Caenorhabditis elegans: one gene and its partner. The protein of the gene in region 1 interacts with the protein of each later gene in a pairwise test. Each region holds a gene or a part of one and is shown in the gene's direction. Other genes may lie near its edges.

Region 1 (7,380 bases):
TGGTGTAGATTCATTTTAATGTAAATTACATCATTGTAAATTGTATAACTCAATTGTAATTTTATTGTTTTAAACCGGTAAAATGTTTTTAATTAATATGATTTCATAACTAATACATTTATATTTAATTCTTGTTCTCGATTTTAATTACATCATAACTCAAGATTTATAGAGGAATAAATTTAAAATTAACAAACCCTGTATCGTTTTGAACTTTTGTTCTTTGTTTTCCCAACAGCGCTGTTCATTTTTTTCAATCTCGTCAGCCAGAACAGCTTTATATATGCTTAGGATTTAGAGAATCCGACAGCGGAAACCAAACTTTTGCAGAAAAAAATTGTGGACGGGAGAGCGAGACAAAAAGGGCCGAAATGTGTTCTTCAGTCATTGCTTTGAAAGGTTTCACTTTTCTAGTGAGTTTTGTTTTTCGAAGAACTTTTTGAGCTGCACTATAATTCTTGTATTAGATGTTTGTTTTTCAATAATTTAGATTTAAATTTTTCTGTGATGTGTACTGTGACCATGCGATTGTCACCCACTAGAAATGTTGCATTCTGAGTCGGAAAATGATGCTTACTATTTTTAAAATTTCTCTCCAATTTTTCCGTGTTTATTGTCACAATCAACCCAAAAATAGAATATTAAATCAGTTGGTTTGCACTCGTCACTGAATTCTGATTCATTGTTTCGCATAAAGTTATAACACCTTCTCTAGTCACCCTAGTTTCCATTTGGCCTTCTGTCTGCTTTCTATAGGATTGGCTACATGGTACATACATCTGTTATTTGTCATGCTGTGTTCATCACAAAAACTTTACCCCATAAAAAGTGTCATACAAGGAACACGAATCATTGAGTGAAGTGTGACACAGTTTTCAATTATTTAACATTCGCTTTGTTTTAGTAGACTGCTGCTCTTTTTTCTTCAAAGTAAGATAATCTGGAGGACAGACAGGAAGTTGTTAAAGTGATGTATAAATATCGAATATGTTTAGTTGAATGCAGTTTTTTTCGAATAATTTGTTGCACAGCCCGTACTTGTTACACTAGTTACTTTTTCTCGAACTTTTGATGTAGCTTAATCATTTTCCCCTTTATTTTTTATGTAAGAGATAGTACTTGTAAAGTGTAAAACGTTATTCAATATATACCAAGAACAATTACACCCATATTCGAAAAAAAATAGTTGGGATTGTGATTTTTCTCTACCTATTTTCAACATTGCCAAATTAATACTTTGATAAATTCTCTAGATATATATATATATATATATAATATATATAGATACATTTGCATGTAGATCATTTTTCTCTGAGCTCCAAGGTTAAATTCCCAATTTGTGCAGGAAGATTTGCCCAAAATACCTGTCGATTCTGTTTTCAGCAAATTTGGAAAATCTGGAAGCATCCAATTGTTTGTTTGCAGCGCAGCCATTGGAATATTTTTATTTTTTAATTTTTTCCAGTCCACTTTTGTTTTGAAATTACAATTTTTGAAGTAATGTAAAAAGTAGAAAATAGCCTTGGGCAAACAAAACTTTGAAACAAAATTTCATTAACGTTTTTGCCCCCTTCCTCCGCCCATTTCCTCTTCTCATCCCATTCGAATTTTACCCCATTGGGAATTTCAATTCTTGTATCAGTTTTGTTCTTTTTTAGTTTTAAGAAAATTGGCATATATTTTTGAAAAAACGTCATTTTGATCTTGCAGAACAGCTCTGTTTTGTTTTGTGTCGGGTGGTACCCTAACACCATCATTCTTTCATTCAACCCATAAAAGCCAGCCGTCACAGAGGAACACATTTGAAAAAAAGGGTTCCGCGTCTTTTTAGCTTTTAACTACCATCTGCTCTCTTCCAAAAAAGGACATTGAGTGCTCATTTAATTTTTCTGCTCATTTGTTGATTGGGTTTTTCTACACTTTGACATTCTTTAAAATTATAATTAAAAATAAAATCTTTAAAAATAAAATAGAAAACAAGACGAAAAACATCCTCATAACTCCCTAAAACTAGTGTTTATCGGATTAGATACACATAGAGACGTTCGAGAAATTCAATTTTTTTATCTCATCGTTTACGTATTTTATGTATTTGCACATGTGCGATGAGCATTATTTATGTTACAACAAACCCGTTTTTCCTCATATTTCATCTTGCCATTCTCATTTATTTTCTTATTTATGATATTTGAAAATAACAGAAATTATTTTTACTCTTAATCAGATGAAATACTTTGCAAATATCATAAATGTTATAATTAAAACAATTGAAATTTTTGTTGCGAATATTTAAAACATACAAAAAAACGAAAAAATAAACATACTTAATGTTCCTAGTGAATATCAAATTTCTCTGTGCGTCCGCAAATGCATCACGTGGTTTTGTTCACAATTTCAATTAAAAAACTTCTTGAACTTTAAAAATATGTGTTCACACATTAATTAATTTTCACAAGATCTGTAACATGGGGCATAATTTTTGTGAATTTACCAATCAATCATTAATATAAGATAGTTTCACGTAAGTTCAACGCAAGTTTAAAAGTGATAAAAAAAATCAAATTTTGCATTCAACTTTGCAAATTTGTTCTCAGGATGAAACTTCTTGAAAATTTCACAAAAGTGTTTTTTCTTTTTCTTTTTAACGGTTGAAAAGTTTAACAAAAAAATACTCAATATAGCAAAATTCTAAAATTTTATCAACTTTACCCTGTTGTAGAAATTGAGATTAAACTAGCGAATTTTTCATAAACGACACAAAATTTCAAAATGAGGTTGTGATTAAATAATAATATTTTTTCCAGTCGCTCCGCGGACAAGTGGCCTAAATTTAAGATTCCTGCGGAACCTCAATTTTTAAAATTTTTTACTCAAATAAAAAGCAGAACCGTTACTCCTTCTTATGGTTTGCGTTTATATCTTCACAACTTTTTTTGCTCTCTATTGTCAATAACGTTGGTTTTACAAGATACAAATAACTTAAAGTTTCAGGGTAGTTACAGCTAAAAGAGACCGCAGCAAGGGATCCTGTCACTGAGAATGTTCATCTTTGCCGCAGTAAGTGTTCATTTTTAAGATAAACCACATGACCTTGTCTCCTTATGATCTGCCTGATCAAACAACCGGCTCTTCGTTGTCAATGACCTCGTGTTTATGTATGTGTTTTGTTTATCTCCAGCACGTTTTCCAAATCTAAACGTTTTTGATGGTTGGTTGAGAAAGAGAAACTCTACGCAATTTTGTTGTCCTTTCGTTTTGCTTCTTCACCGTCGCCAATGTAAAACGCGTGACTGCCGCGAAACAAACTCTAAAATACAGAAATCGTGAGTCAACTGTAATTTTTTCGACGATTTCCTTTCTGATTCAATTCCACATATCGATTTTTAGAATGACACCGATTTGCATGAATTATCCGTACCCCCGTCAGTCTGAACAGCAACTTTTCTTTTTAACTTTTTGATTTCTGTTGTTTAATCAAGTGCTTTTTGCGTTCATAAAATATAAGAATAAACAATAACTAAAATTAGAATTTCTTATTTTTACGTATTTTTCCTTCAACAGCATATCAATTTAATTTGAAAATAATTTGTCTTGTTCAATGTTAGGAATTTCGCAAACGTTTAGTTGCCATATGTACAAAGATATGTATAAAGAATGTGGAACATTTTCTTTCAAAAATTGAAAATAATTTATTCTAGTAACATTTTTGAACACATAAATTTCAAGTATAATCTTGAAATTTTTTCATGTCGTTAAAAAATCAAATGCAACGTAATTTGAAACACCTACATTGTGAGACTTTTGCAGAAAACAAAGTTAAAGGTCAATGAGACCCTCCGAATACGAGTGCCAAAAGTATTCAATTAAATTTCCAGTTTTTACGCGATGAAAAACACCAATCAACAATGAGCCAAAAGTGTGGTGTGCTGCTCTTTTCCAAGCGTAACATTTAAATTGAACTTCTGTTTGAAAAATGAGGAGAGCATATAGAGCCAAATGATACAAAACCACTCTCATGATATTAGAATTTCCGACTCCTACCCCGACCCGACCGACCCAAAAAATGGGGCGACCCACTCCACAGGCCTAGTCTTACATCCCTACGGACCAATTGAAAATTAGTCTTGCATGCAAGAATAATAGAGAAAGCTTCAAAGCTAATTTGTTCAAAAACAATTTCCTTTTTGGATCTTCTCCGCCTTCAAACTCCAGTTCAGAATGTTATGTGTCCAATTTTCTTTTGCACGTTCGCTCAAGAGTACACATGACAACTACATATTATCTTTTTTATCAGTTCGTCATTTGATTTGATCGCTATTCATGTGCCCTTTTCATATTTACTCTTCGCAACTCTTTTGTGAGCACCATTGTTGCAACCACAACTTGCATAATTACTACAGAATCGAAGTTTCAAAAAAAGATTGCATTCTATCTCGCGCTCCCATGCGCTTTTTTCGTTTTATTTGCGATTGAAAAATAGCTTTCCTGCTTTGCGGGCTATGCAGAGCAGTAGTTTTCAATGGTTTTGTCTGGGCACACAGAGAAGCGTACAGTGTGATTGAAAAAGTGGGGTAGCAGCCAGTATAGAGCAAGAGAAATGTACAGCATTCAATTTTTCATTCGTTTTCTATTTTGCTCTTATAAACTGTGACATTTCTAGTGACTGAAAACGAGAAATCGCAGTGTCTTGTTTAAAACTCCCTCAAAATCTTTCTCTCTGAAATAATAATTCAGAAGAATTATATATTTTTCTTTTTGACAATGACTTCAAATATAATCTCAGAAATCTTACAATTCACTGGAATGTCACAGTCATAATCTCGTATTATTTGTATCTGAAATAGACGTTATTGCGCCATGTCTAGGTGGCTTTGTTAGAGAAAATACGCGTTTTTCTTAGCTCATCTATTTTTTTTTCTTCTTGCAAAAAGCTGACTTCTTGTTGCATATTCATTGAACGTTAGCTTTTTTGGCAAAGGTTTATGTAGGATTATTTGTAAGACTTGAGTTTTAAGCTCTAAGAATTTGAAAAAAGGTATGAAAAGCTACCAAGTTTTTCATTTTTCTAGTTACGAAAATTGGCTTTCTCTTTTTTTCCTTCCAAACTAGTAGAAAAAGCACTGCCATTGAAATTAAAAAAAACAGTTTTCAACAATTTTTCACAAAGCGGAAAACTTGAAAAATAAATGCTTTTTTAAGTTAAGAAAATATGTCGTCACAAAAGTTCTTGCAGATTTTGCACTGTGCTTTCATAAAGTTATTGGGCTTTCTTGAACTGTTGTTAGTTGTCCTTGATGTACTTCAAACTTTCATAAATTCCTTTTCCAATTACAGCGTTCTCAAACTATTAAAAAAATATGATTCAATAACTGTCTGCACCATTTAGAGAGAGAGAGAAACTAAGCGTTCCTTTCTTTCCTGAAAAAAAAACAAAGTCTCATGGGTTTACTCAGATGACAAAGTAACACAAAAAAACAGAAAAAAAACTCCAAAGTTTCCGTGCCAAAAGTTGCGCCGTCGTGTCTATTTACTTGACACACTTGCCATCACACTTGAGCAAGTACAGCTGTTCCTCAGCACCGCGAGCACTTTTTCGAGAAAATTGAAATTACGTGTCAATTCATGTCTCCCACAGCAGTTCATCAATCATTTGCTGCATGTTGCGACCAATTTATCTTTTCGTTTTTTGTTCAAATTTGAAACAGAAATTTCGAATAAGGGTTCTTGAGTGTAATCAGTCAACGATTGTGATTTTTAATGCGATAAAAAATCCAGCATATTTTTTGAAACTTATCTTTGCCATTTTTCTTCAAAACAATTTTTAATTTGCTCACCTAACCAAATTAAAGGCGAAAGATGTTTTTTTTAATATAAAAATGTCGTACGTTTTGTTTCCCAAAATACATTAATTCAAATCTATTTTGGTCAAATCGTTGTAACTTTTGTTCATATCTGTCTTGTCCACGGCGCAAAAATGTTATCAAATTTTGCTAATTAGTCATCAACTTTTTTTAATTTCATAGGTTCTAATGGCATTAGTTAAACGATGTGTACAAAGATGTAATTATACGCTTTTCAAATATATGCAAATTTTTCTTGATTAACTATGTGTCCAAACGACTAAAAACCGTTAATCTTACTGTTAATTGAAAAAAAGTATTTGAATCTGTTATAAGTCATCATAATTTTACCAAAAATCTAAAAGTTTCAATTTATCTTTAGTAGAACAAATGTATATTTTAATTCTTGTTTGTGAAAGTACAGATTTTCTTGTTTTATACACTACTTCTAAAATGCTAAAATGTTTTATTGTCTATTTATTACTTATTTTTTCAACTTTTCAGGCTTTCCAACAGAACACAATAATAATGAGTACTACTTCCAATGAAGCATCTGTGATTGAGGTCGTTCCTCCAAATGCAAACTGTGACAAGCCGAAGAAGAAATTCCAAGTTGTTCCGGTTCCAGGAGAGTTTACACGTGGCAGATGGAAAGTGATTGATACCAGATTTGGGTCGGCAATGGGAGGTTAGTTTAACTACTTGAAAACGAATAATTTATCAATTTAGAAGAAAATCAATAAATTTATTAGATACCAGTTCAAAATTCCGAGCATAGAAGTACGTGTTTTAGTACGTGTTTTTAAAAAAATGTTTGAGGTTGTTGAAGTACCAGTGAAAATCTTTTTTCAAAATTATTGATTAAAAAAAAATAAACTGGACAATAAACACAATTTATTTTTTTCAGAATTTGGAAATTATCCTCCAGAAGACGAGTACAAGATGATCGTAACAAGCAAAAACAATGTGATCACCGTCCGAAAGAAATTCCCTCGGCCGACAACAGTCACCTCTGCTCCAATTCTCGGAGCAGAAGAGGCGGACAGCATTCGTGTGCTACAAAAAAGTCAGCCGCGGTGAGTGATCTCACATAAATAAACCCAGATTTAAAATCTTAATATCCAAAGCAATCACGTGAGATAATGCGCGCGCGCGTCAGTAGACTTTGAAAGGTGGCTAGAAAAGTCTCTGGAGAATTGGCAAGGCGTTGAAAAGCGGGCGGCTTTCAAGTAAAAAATAATACCCAAAAAATATCGAGTTTCAGACGAACTCTTTGCTTTCGTTTCTTTTTTTGCGTAACTAAAAGGCATTTAGAATTTTTATTATTTTCGCAACACTGATTTTTAAAGTGAAATTCTCTTTTCTTTGAAGTGAAATAAACTGAAGGGGTTTTATTACTTTTTCACCTTGTCGTAAACACATTACTTCTCAAATACCCTATCAGACACATTGACCTTAAAAACACGTCAAAAACGCAATTACCCATTCTTCAAATCGCTCCGTATTATCCTCCTGTCATATCGATTTCTTCCGATTACCT
Region 2 (7,418 bases), on another chromosome or scaffold:
TTCCAATTCTCTATCACGATTCACATCAATCGTGAGAACGACATCGATCCGCGGATTTCATGATCGAAGCTCAGTGCCACGGGTCGTCGATGATCGCGAAAAGTCTTCAGCAAAATATAATGATGCCGGTGAGACATATATTTAATTTTTTCAAATAAAAACTTTCACATTTTCAGGTTACACGTTCCGTTATCACCAACAAGGCGTAGATCCGCTACCTCGTATTCCTGATTGTAAAGTCCCAGTAGCACGTCCAGCATACAAAGTTCGTGATCAATGGAGTGACGAAGCTGCTCGCTTCGGTCAAAACGACTATATTGATCTTCTCGGTGATGGATCAGTTCATCCTGCACAACTTCAATATCACACGCCAACTTGGCTTCGTGGATTCCCAGGACAACATAAAGCAAATGAGCTCATCAAACTTATTCACTATCGAAATCTGTATGATGCTAAATTGAAACAAAATTCACCGAAAAGATGGCACGAGCTAAGAAAGAGAATCAAGTATTTAATGATGCAGCACAATTATAACAAACAGGTTGGATTTTTTTTTAATATGTTTTTTTTTAAATCCAAATTATTTGCTTCAGGATGAGATCGGTCGAGAACGCAACTTGGGATTATGGGAAGAGGAGCCCGACTACACTTACAAGGACAAATCACGAAGATCATTCAAAGATGAAATCCATTAGATTTATATTGCTTGTTTTTAGCTGTTGTAGAATTATTTTTGTTGTTACTATCTGAATTTTTAATATTAATTTTCGAATCTTAGGGAACATCGAGATCATTCGTGGCATATCATAAAGTTTAAGCTTCCAGTCCGTAATAGATTGCTTTGAAGGGGTCCAGTTTGAGAAGTTGCAGGTGTTTTTCGTTTCGGAAAAAATCGAGATTTCCTGAAATGCGACTGTCATGAGTCAAATTTCAGAAAATTCCACGTTTCAATTTCGATGTTAGATTATAGAGACCTTTCTAGCTTCCCATTTCACAACAAACCCCTCTTCATCATCATGACGTCATACAGTCTCGTTCTCTTCTCCAAATATAAATGATCAGCTGTACAGTCACTAAATGCAGCATATCAGTACCTTATCAATTGATAGCATCACCACATGTTCATCTCGCCTCAAATTCAAAAAAAAAGCAACACTTCACTCCTAAAACAGTTCCATTTTCGGTCGATAAACCATCGATTCCCCGTTCACTCAGCTGTGCGTATTTTCTCGTCATTCGTCTCTTTCTCACAGCCTACACTATTCGCGAAGCCGTCTGCAATCTGCGTCTCACCTTGGGCCCTATGCAGAGGGACAATCAATCGGCCTAGAGGAGGCTGGTCATGTGTTTATGCATAGAAATATCGAGAAAGAATGCGAGACACAGAGATGAAGAGGCATCATTCGGCCTCATTTTGCCCATAGCAACACTTACACTCGTAGGCTCGGTAGTGGAATGTTCCAGATGAATACTCTTGCTTTGACACGATATTTAAGTAGGAAATTCCTTTTCTAAAATCTAAAACTAGCAATTTCTTGCGGTTGTGTAACCGAATCAAATATTCGAAAATTAGCAAAATTTCGCAATGAATATTCTCGTTTTTTGGCAAACCGTTTCTTTTTTGTCATTTTGACTATTACACAGTCTCCTCCAGTGGAAATCGGTCCGTTGGCGCACTTCTCGTGCATCGCGTGGAAAATTGAGAAATTACCAAAACTTTCAATTTACTGTTTTTCTTTATATTTTTCATAACATAAGCTTGGGTGGAAGATTACTTTTCAAATAAACATCAATTTCTACTAGAAAAATGATGATAAATATACAAAATATGAGAAAAACTCAATTTTTAGTTGTTTTTACTTTTTATATCAGCGCTTTTATTTTTGAACCAAAATCAAAAAACTTTTTTCTCCACCTTTCCCCGAATTAGCTTTACAATTGATACCTAATTTCAAAGTATGAAATCGATTTTAAACCCACAAAAACCGAAGGAAATCATTTTTCAGTGGTAAAATTTTGCAACGCTCACGAGAAACGCGCAAGCCCCCTTGTTGGGTCATTTCCACGTGAGGAGGCTGTGTATTATCCTTTCTGATTTTTTCCGTCAAAAATACGGTACCCGGTCTCAACACGCTTTTTTGTTGTAAAATACAAGCAAGTATGCGCCTTTAAAGAGTACTGTAATTTCAAACGTTTTTTGCTGCTTAATTGTTTTCCTTAACAATTTATTTGTTTATTTAAAGACTAAAAATTGAAATTTAAAAGCACAGAATTGTTTTAGAAAAAAGTTTTAGAATACAGTACCGGTTGGAATTTGAAAAAAATTGTCGTGTCGAGACCGGGTACCGTAGTTTTGGCGCAAAAATCACAACATTTCGCGTATGGATAATATTTAATTGCATTTTTACATAACTTTCTTGTAGGCCCAACAGTACCTACTTGCCTGCCTACAGGCAACTCTCTACTGCTACTAAATTTTTGACGCCTTCACGAAATTAGTCACTTATGATAATGAAAGTTTATATTTTAGTTCTAGAGAATCTGTTCAACTAGATCCTAACAAAAATAGTCTCCAAGAAATTTAGATGAATGATAATAAAAACTTGTTGGAAGTGATCTACTAGATCTAGATACCACCTTGAACTTTGAAGCCTTGAGTGTTTTTCTTTTCATATCTCCGTTCTTGCCCCCTTTGTTCATCTCGTAAACATCTTTAAAGGTTCCAAAAATAGTACATTTCCTTTTTGTTGTTGCATTATTCTCCAAAAAAATGAATTATGGTTTCAATTTCTTACACAATACAATCATTATGATGATTATTCGAAGTATAATATTTCGAAATTTCCTTTTTTCGATTTCGCAACTCTCGCAACTCAATAATGTCAATACTTGTTCTATTATCTTTCACTCTCTTTTCACTCACTTTCAAATAACTTCTCATTTTACTCAGATGGCTGCTGCATCATCCGCTCCTCACCAAATGCAAGTTCGTGTGACTTTCTATACAAGTCACAATCCGCAATCGGTTCTCATGATTTTGAAGAACGATCAGGCTCTTCAACAGATCTCCGAGAAGGCAAGAGAACTGTTCCCATCGGCTGATTATCGTCTCTACTACGGTAAGATATTATACTTTTGTTTTTGCCCCGTTTGCTAGACGAATCAATTGTGCAAATAGAGTATTTGTATGCCACACCTATGTTATGACAAAAAAGTACGGTGCCCGGTCTCGGCACGATTGAAATTTTTAATGGACGTTCCGAGGAAGAGTGTGCGCCTTTAAACAAACCATTTTTTTAAATTTAAAGTTTAACTAGATTTAAAAGGTCGTTATTTTTGTAAAACTCAATTTAATTAGATTATATTTAAGATTTCTAATTTCCCTAGATATCTCACAGTAACTTTTTTCCAAATCTTCAAATTTTCAGGTGATGTCAACGGACCAATCTTTGAGTTCACCAATTCGGATCAGATTATGTCTAAGATTCGAATCACTACATTCTCTCGAACTCCTCAACTTTTTGTTCGCCTGGAAACTGTTCCCCTTCGTCCAACAGCCCTACCATCAGTGAGCACTGAAACTGCCAAAAAAGCTTCCGATGCTGATCGTGAATCAAAGAGCAGATCCTCGCTGAAGCGTATCGAGAACAACCAGGAGCTCACATTGAAGACGCTGGAGAAGTTGCAAAAGGAGCTCTCAAGAGTTAGCGCTTTGGAGACGATGGTTGCTGATCTTCATGCAAAGGAAAGAGAACCTGTTGTCGAGGAAGTTCAGAAGCCATTCCCTCCAGTGAAGCACTCGGCGTCTTGTGATGCTTGCCTCGGTGACATCATCGGACATAGGTTCAAGTGTCTCGAATGTGCCGATTATGATTTGTGCGAGAAGTGTGAGAGAAAATCTTTACATTATGAGCATGCAATGATCAGAATTGTGGAGCCAAAGAAAACAATGATCCCATCATATGTGACATCAAACTCTCCGAACAATGTCTTCCCAACTTACATGCAGCACAAGATCCAACAACCACAAACTATCAAGGGGATCAACAAGACTGTTATCACGAGACTCGTTCCTTCACATCAAGTTAATCCAGCTCCAATGCCTCAAGCTCCACCAGTCTCCACTCCAGTTCCATTCCCTCCATCTCCAACCATCGGAAATGGAGCAGTTCCAAAACCAGCCCAGGAGCCTCGGATCCCACCATCTCCAACTTCTGCTCTACCACCACCACAATTCTTCAATGAGGAGACCCGTGCAGCCATTATTAATAGTGCAGCGTTGCTCAAGGAAACTTTCAGTACTTTGAGCAGAAGCTTCTTGGATTTGGCAGATGGTGCACAGGCCAATATGGATAAAAAGATCATTGAACGCTCGACCATGGAAGCAGGAATGACCAAATTCGAAGAGAAAATGGATAATTTGAAAAGACACTGTGAGGAGAAATATCTTGGAACGGAAACTGCTGAAGCTGAGAAGAGCGAGGAATCTTCGAAGAAGCAAGCAGATAGCTTGTCTGGACCAAAGATCAAGAAGGCTAAGAAGAAGTCCTGCTACAAGAAATCTGCCGAGAGACTATTCACAATGCAACTTGCTGCGGCGGCTGCTGAGCAAGCCCGTCTTGAACAAGAAGCCAAGAAAAGAGCTGAAGCCAGCTCTGCTGAATTACAGAGGAAACTTGCTGAGCTTAATGTGAAGGAATCTCAATCAAAATCCGAGGAAAACATTGCTGACTTTGTCCTATACGATCTTTACGGAAACTCCTTGGAAGCTTTGTTGAGAGGTCGTTCGAGCTCTAGAATCGCCGATCCTCCGACCACTCCAAATACCGAACCAGCCACCACAGAGTTAGCTTCAACGACCTCTGCAACTCCAGCCGTCACTGCTCCAGCATCAATTGTTCCAGTTACTCCAACTGCACCAATTGTTGAAACTCTGATCGTTCCACCACTTCCACCAGTGGAATCAAATCCAGAAGAGGTTACACCAATGGTGACTGCACCAATCTCAATTCACTCTTCTTTCGAGAACATTTCTTCGGATTTCGAGAGCCTCAGTCCATCATGGGGAGGATACCCAGATTTGGAAGCTGCACAACGTCTAGAAGTCATCGATGATAACTTACTCGACTTCTCTGATGTTGCTGTTGAAGCCCAGGAAGCTCAAGAAGCTCAAGAAGAAGCTCGCCCAGAGCCAGAGCAATCTCTACCACCATTTAATGAGGAAACTGAAAAGGTAAATCTAAATGTCGTCCATGAATCCCCTAATCTAACGAATTTTCAGACATTCGATCGTCTCCTTGAGATGGGATTCTCCTACAACGTCACTGTTGCTGCAATCAGAGCAAATGGATCGAATCTCGAGATGTGTCTTCAGGCGCTTCTTCACTAATTTGTACATCCTGTATCGTGTCGCCCAACCAACTCTCTCCTAGATACTATTAGTCATTTTCATCATTCCAATGGAAAGCTGTATCTATTTTTTCTCGTCTTGAACCTGAAAATGTTGCTTTTGCGTAAATTGCTTTTTTAATAATCTGAAATTAATAAAGTTGTGGCGAAAAATTATTGTCAGCTGGTTTATTTCAAGTATGGTGTTGCTTTCTGAAACTTGGAGGCTGAATTTTTCTTACATCTGTAGAATTTTATCACATTTCGAATAATTTCAGATAATTTTTTAAAAAACCTTTTCCAAAACAAACTATGAAAAATAAACTTCAAAACATCAACTAGTTCTATTCTCAGGTTGAATATCATTCATTACCAAAAGAGTTAAAGCGTTTTCCAGAAAAAGTTTCGATAATTTTCCAAAAGCCAATTCGAATATTTTCAGCAAGTCGCCGCGTACATTTAGAAGCATCTATCATCTTTGGCATATGGAAGCGAACAGCTTTGAGCAATACGTTTTTTCAGTACAGTTACAAAATCCCATTTTTCTCATCGTTGCATCGAAGATTTTTTCAAAAATTTATATAGCAATAAATAACAATATGTGTACATTTTGAAAATACTTTTACTTTAGATGGAAAGTTTCGAAAATTTGCTCAAAAACCGGCTCAAATATCAAAGTGCAAATCGGCGCATGCCACATTTCGATTTTTAGGCAGTTTTTCAGTAACTTTTTGAAATTTTCGATCCAAAGTGAAATCATTTTCAGAGAGTACAAGCATTTCTCTATATGTCTATATAAAGTTCCAGAAAGTAATTTTGACACAACATGGAGAAAAGTACAATTCGGGAAATGTGCCAAAAAAATGATCGCACACATCTGCTGGCTTCCATATTTCAAAGATGACATATGCTATCAAAACAAAATAAAGTAATAATGATTGTATAAACATTTGTTTATTTTGAAACTTAAATACACATTAGTTTCAGAAAAGTTACATACTGTCTTTTGCAATTATTGATTTTTGCTCATAAAAGCAACATTTCTGCTTAGAATTTTGAAAAAGGTTCACTATTTCGAGTCCTCTATTAGATTCTGAAAGAATTTTTCAAAAATGTTGGCCCATCTCCAAAATCGTCCTCCGCTCTGAAAAACGAAAGTGGACCTTTGCCTTCCAAAAAGTGGGGAAAAAAATGAAATTGATCTTTTTGGGCCGAAAAAAATGTTTTTAGAATGCTGAGAACACGTTAAACACGAATATATATATATTCTGAAAATGTCTAAAATGGATTTTAAAAAAGCATAGATTTATTTTTCATTTTCAACGTGAAAGTTTTGTGTAGATTTTATATTCCAAAAGAATCTCAAAATTTAGAGACTAAACTTTCACGTTGAAAATGAAAAATAAATCTATGCTTTTTTAAATCCATTTCAGACATTTTCAGAATATCGGGATCTTAAAATAAACATGATATTCGTGTTTAACGTGTTCTCAGCATTCTAAAAACATTTTTTTTCGGCCAAAAAGCTCAATTTCATTTTTTTTTGCCCATTTTATGGAAGGCAAAGGTCCACTTTCGTTTTTCAGAGAGGAGGACGATTTTGGAGATGGGCCAACATTTTTGAAAAATTCTTTCAGAATCTAATAGAGGACTCGAAATAGTGAAAATTCTAAGCAGAAATGTTGCTTTTATGAGCAAAAATCAATAATTGCAAAAGACAGTATGTAACTTTTCTGAAACTAATGTGTATTTAAGTTTCAAAATAAACAAATGTTTATACAATCATTATTACTTTATTTTGTTTTGATAGCATCTGTCATCTTTGAAATATGAACAGATTTGTGCGATCCTTTTTTTTTTGAAACATTAGTTTAGAATTGTACTTTTCTCCATGTTGTGTCAAACTTTTTTTAGGAACTTTATTTATATAGACATATAGAGAAATGCTTGTACTCTCTGAAAATGATTTCACTTTGCATCGAAAATTTCAAAAAGTTACTGAAAACTGCCTAAAAATCGAAATGTGCCAT

The links. Proteins that work in one complex are often made in the same cells at the same time.
Region 2: the proteins of tsct-1 (region 1) and sqst-1 interact in a two-hybrid assay, tested with the Caenorhabditis elegans proteins (one large-scale study listed by BioGRID).

What each region holds. Positions count from the first base shown.
Region 1 is NC_003284.9:12,431,115-12,438,494, forward strand, and holds the start of tsct-1 (Protein tsct-1), read left to right. Parts: upstream 1-2,982; 5' UTR 2,983-3,039; coding exon 3,040-3,057; intron 3,058-5,522; exon of another isoform or gene 5,523-5,589; intron 5,590-6,344; coding exon 6,345-6,528; intron 6,529-6,747; coding exon 6,748-6,916; intron 6,917-7,380. Other genes in the region: med-1 (GATA-type domain-containing protein), read left to right, coding at 1-19.
Region 2 is NC_003282.8:12,031,332-12,038,749, forward strand, and holds sqst-1 (ZZ-type domain-containing protein), read left to right. Parts: upstream 1-2,950; coding exon 2,951-3,119; intron 3,120-3,428; coding exon 3,429-5,233; intron 5,234-5,281; coding exon 5,282-5,389; 3' UTR 5,390-5,560; downstream 5,561-7,418. Other genes in the region: mrpl-51 (Large ribosomal subunit protein mL51), read left to right, coding at 1-128, 177-541, 594-695.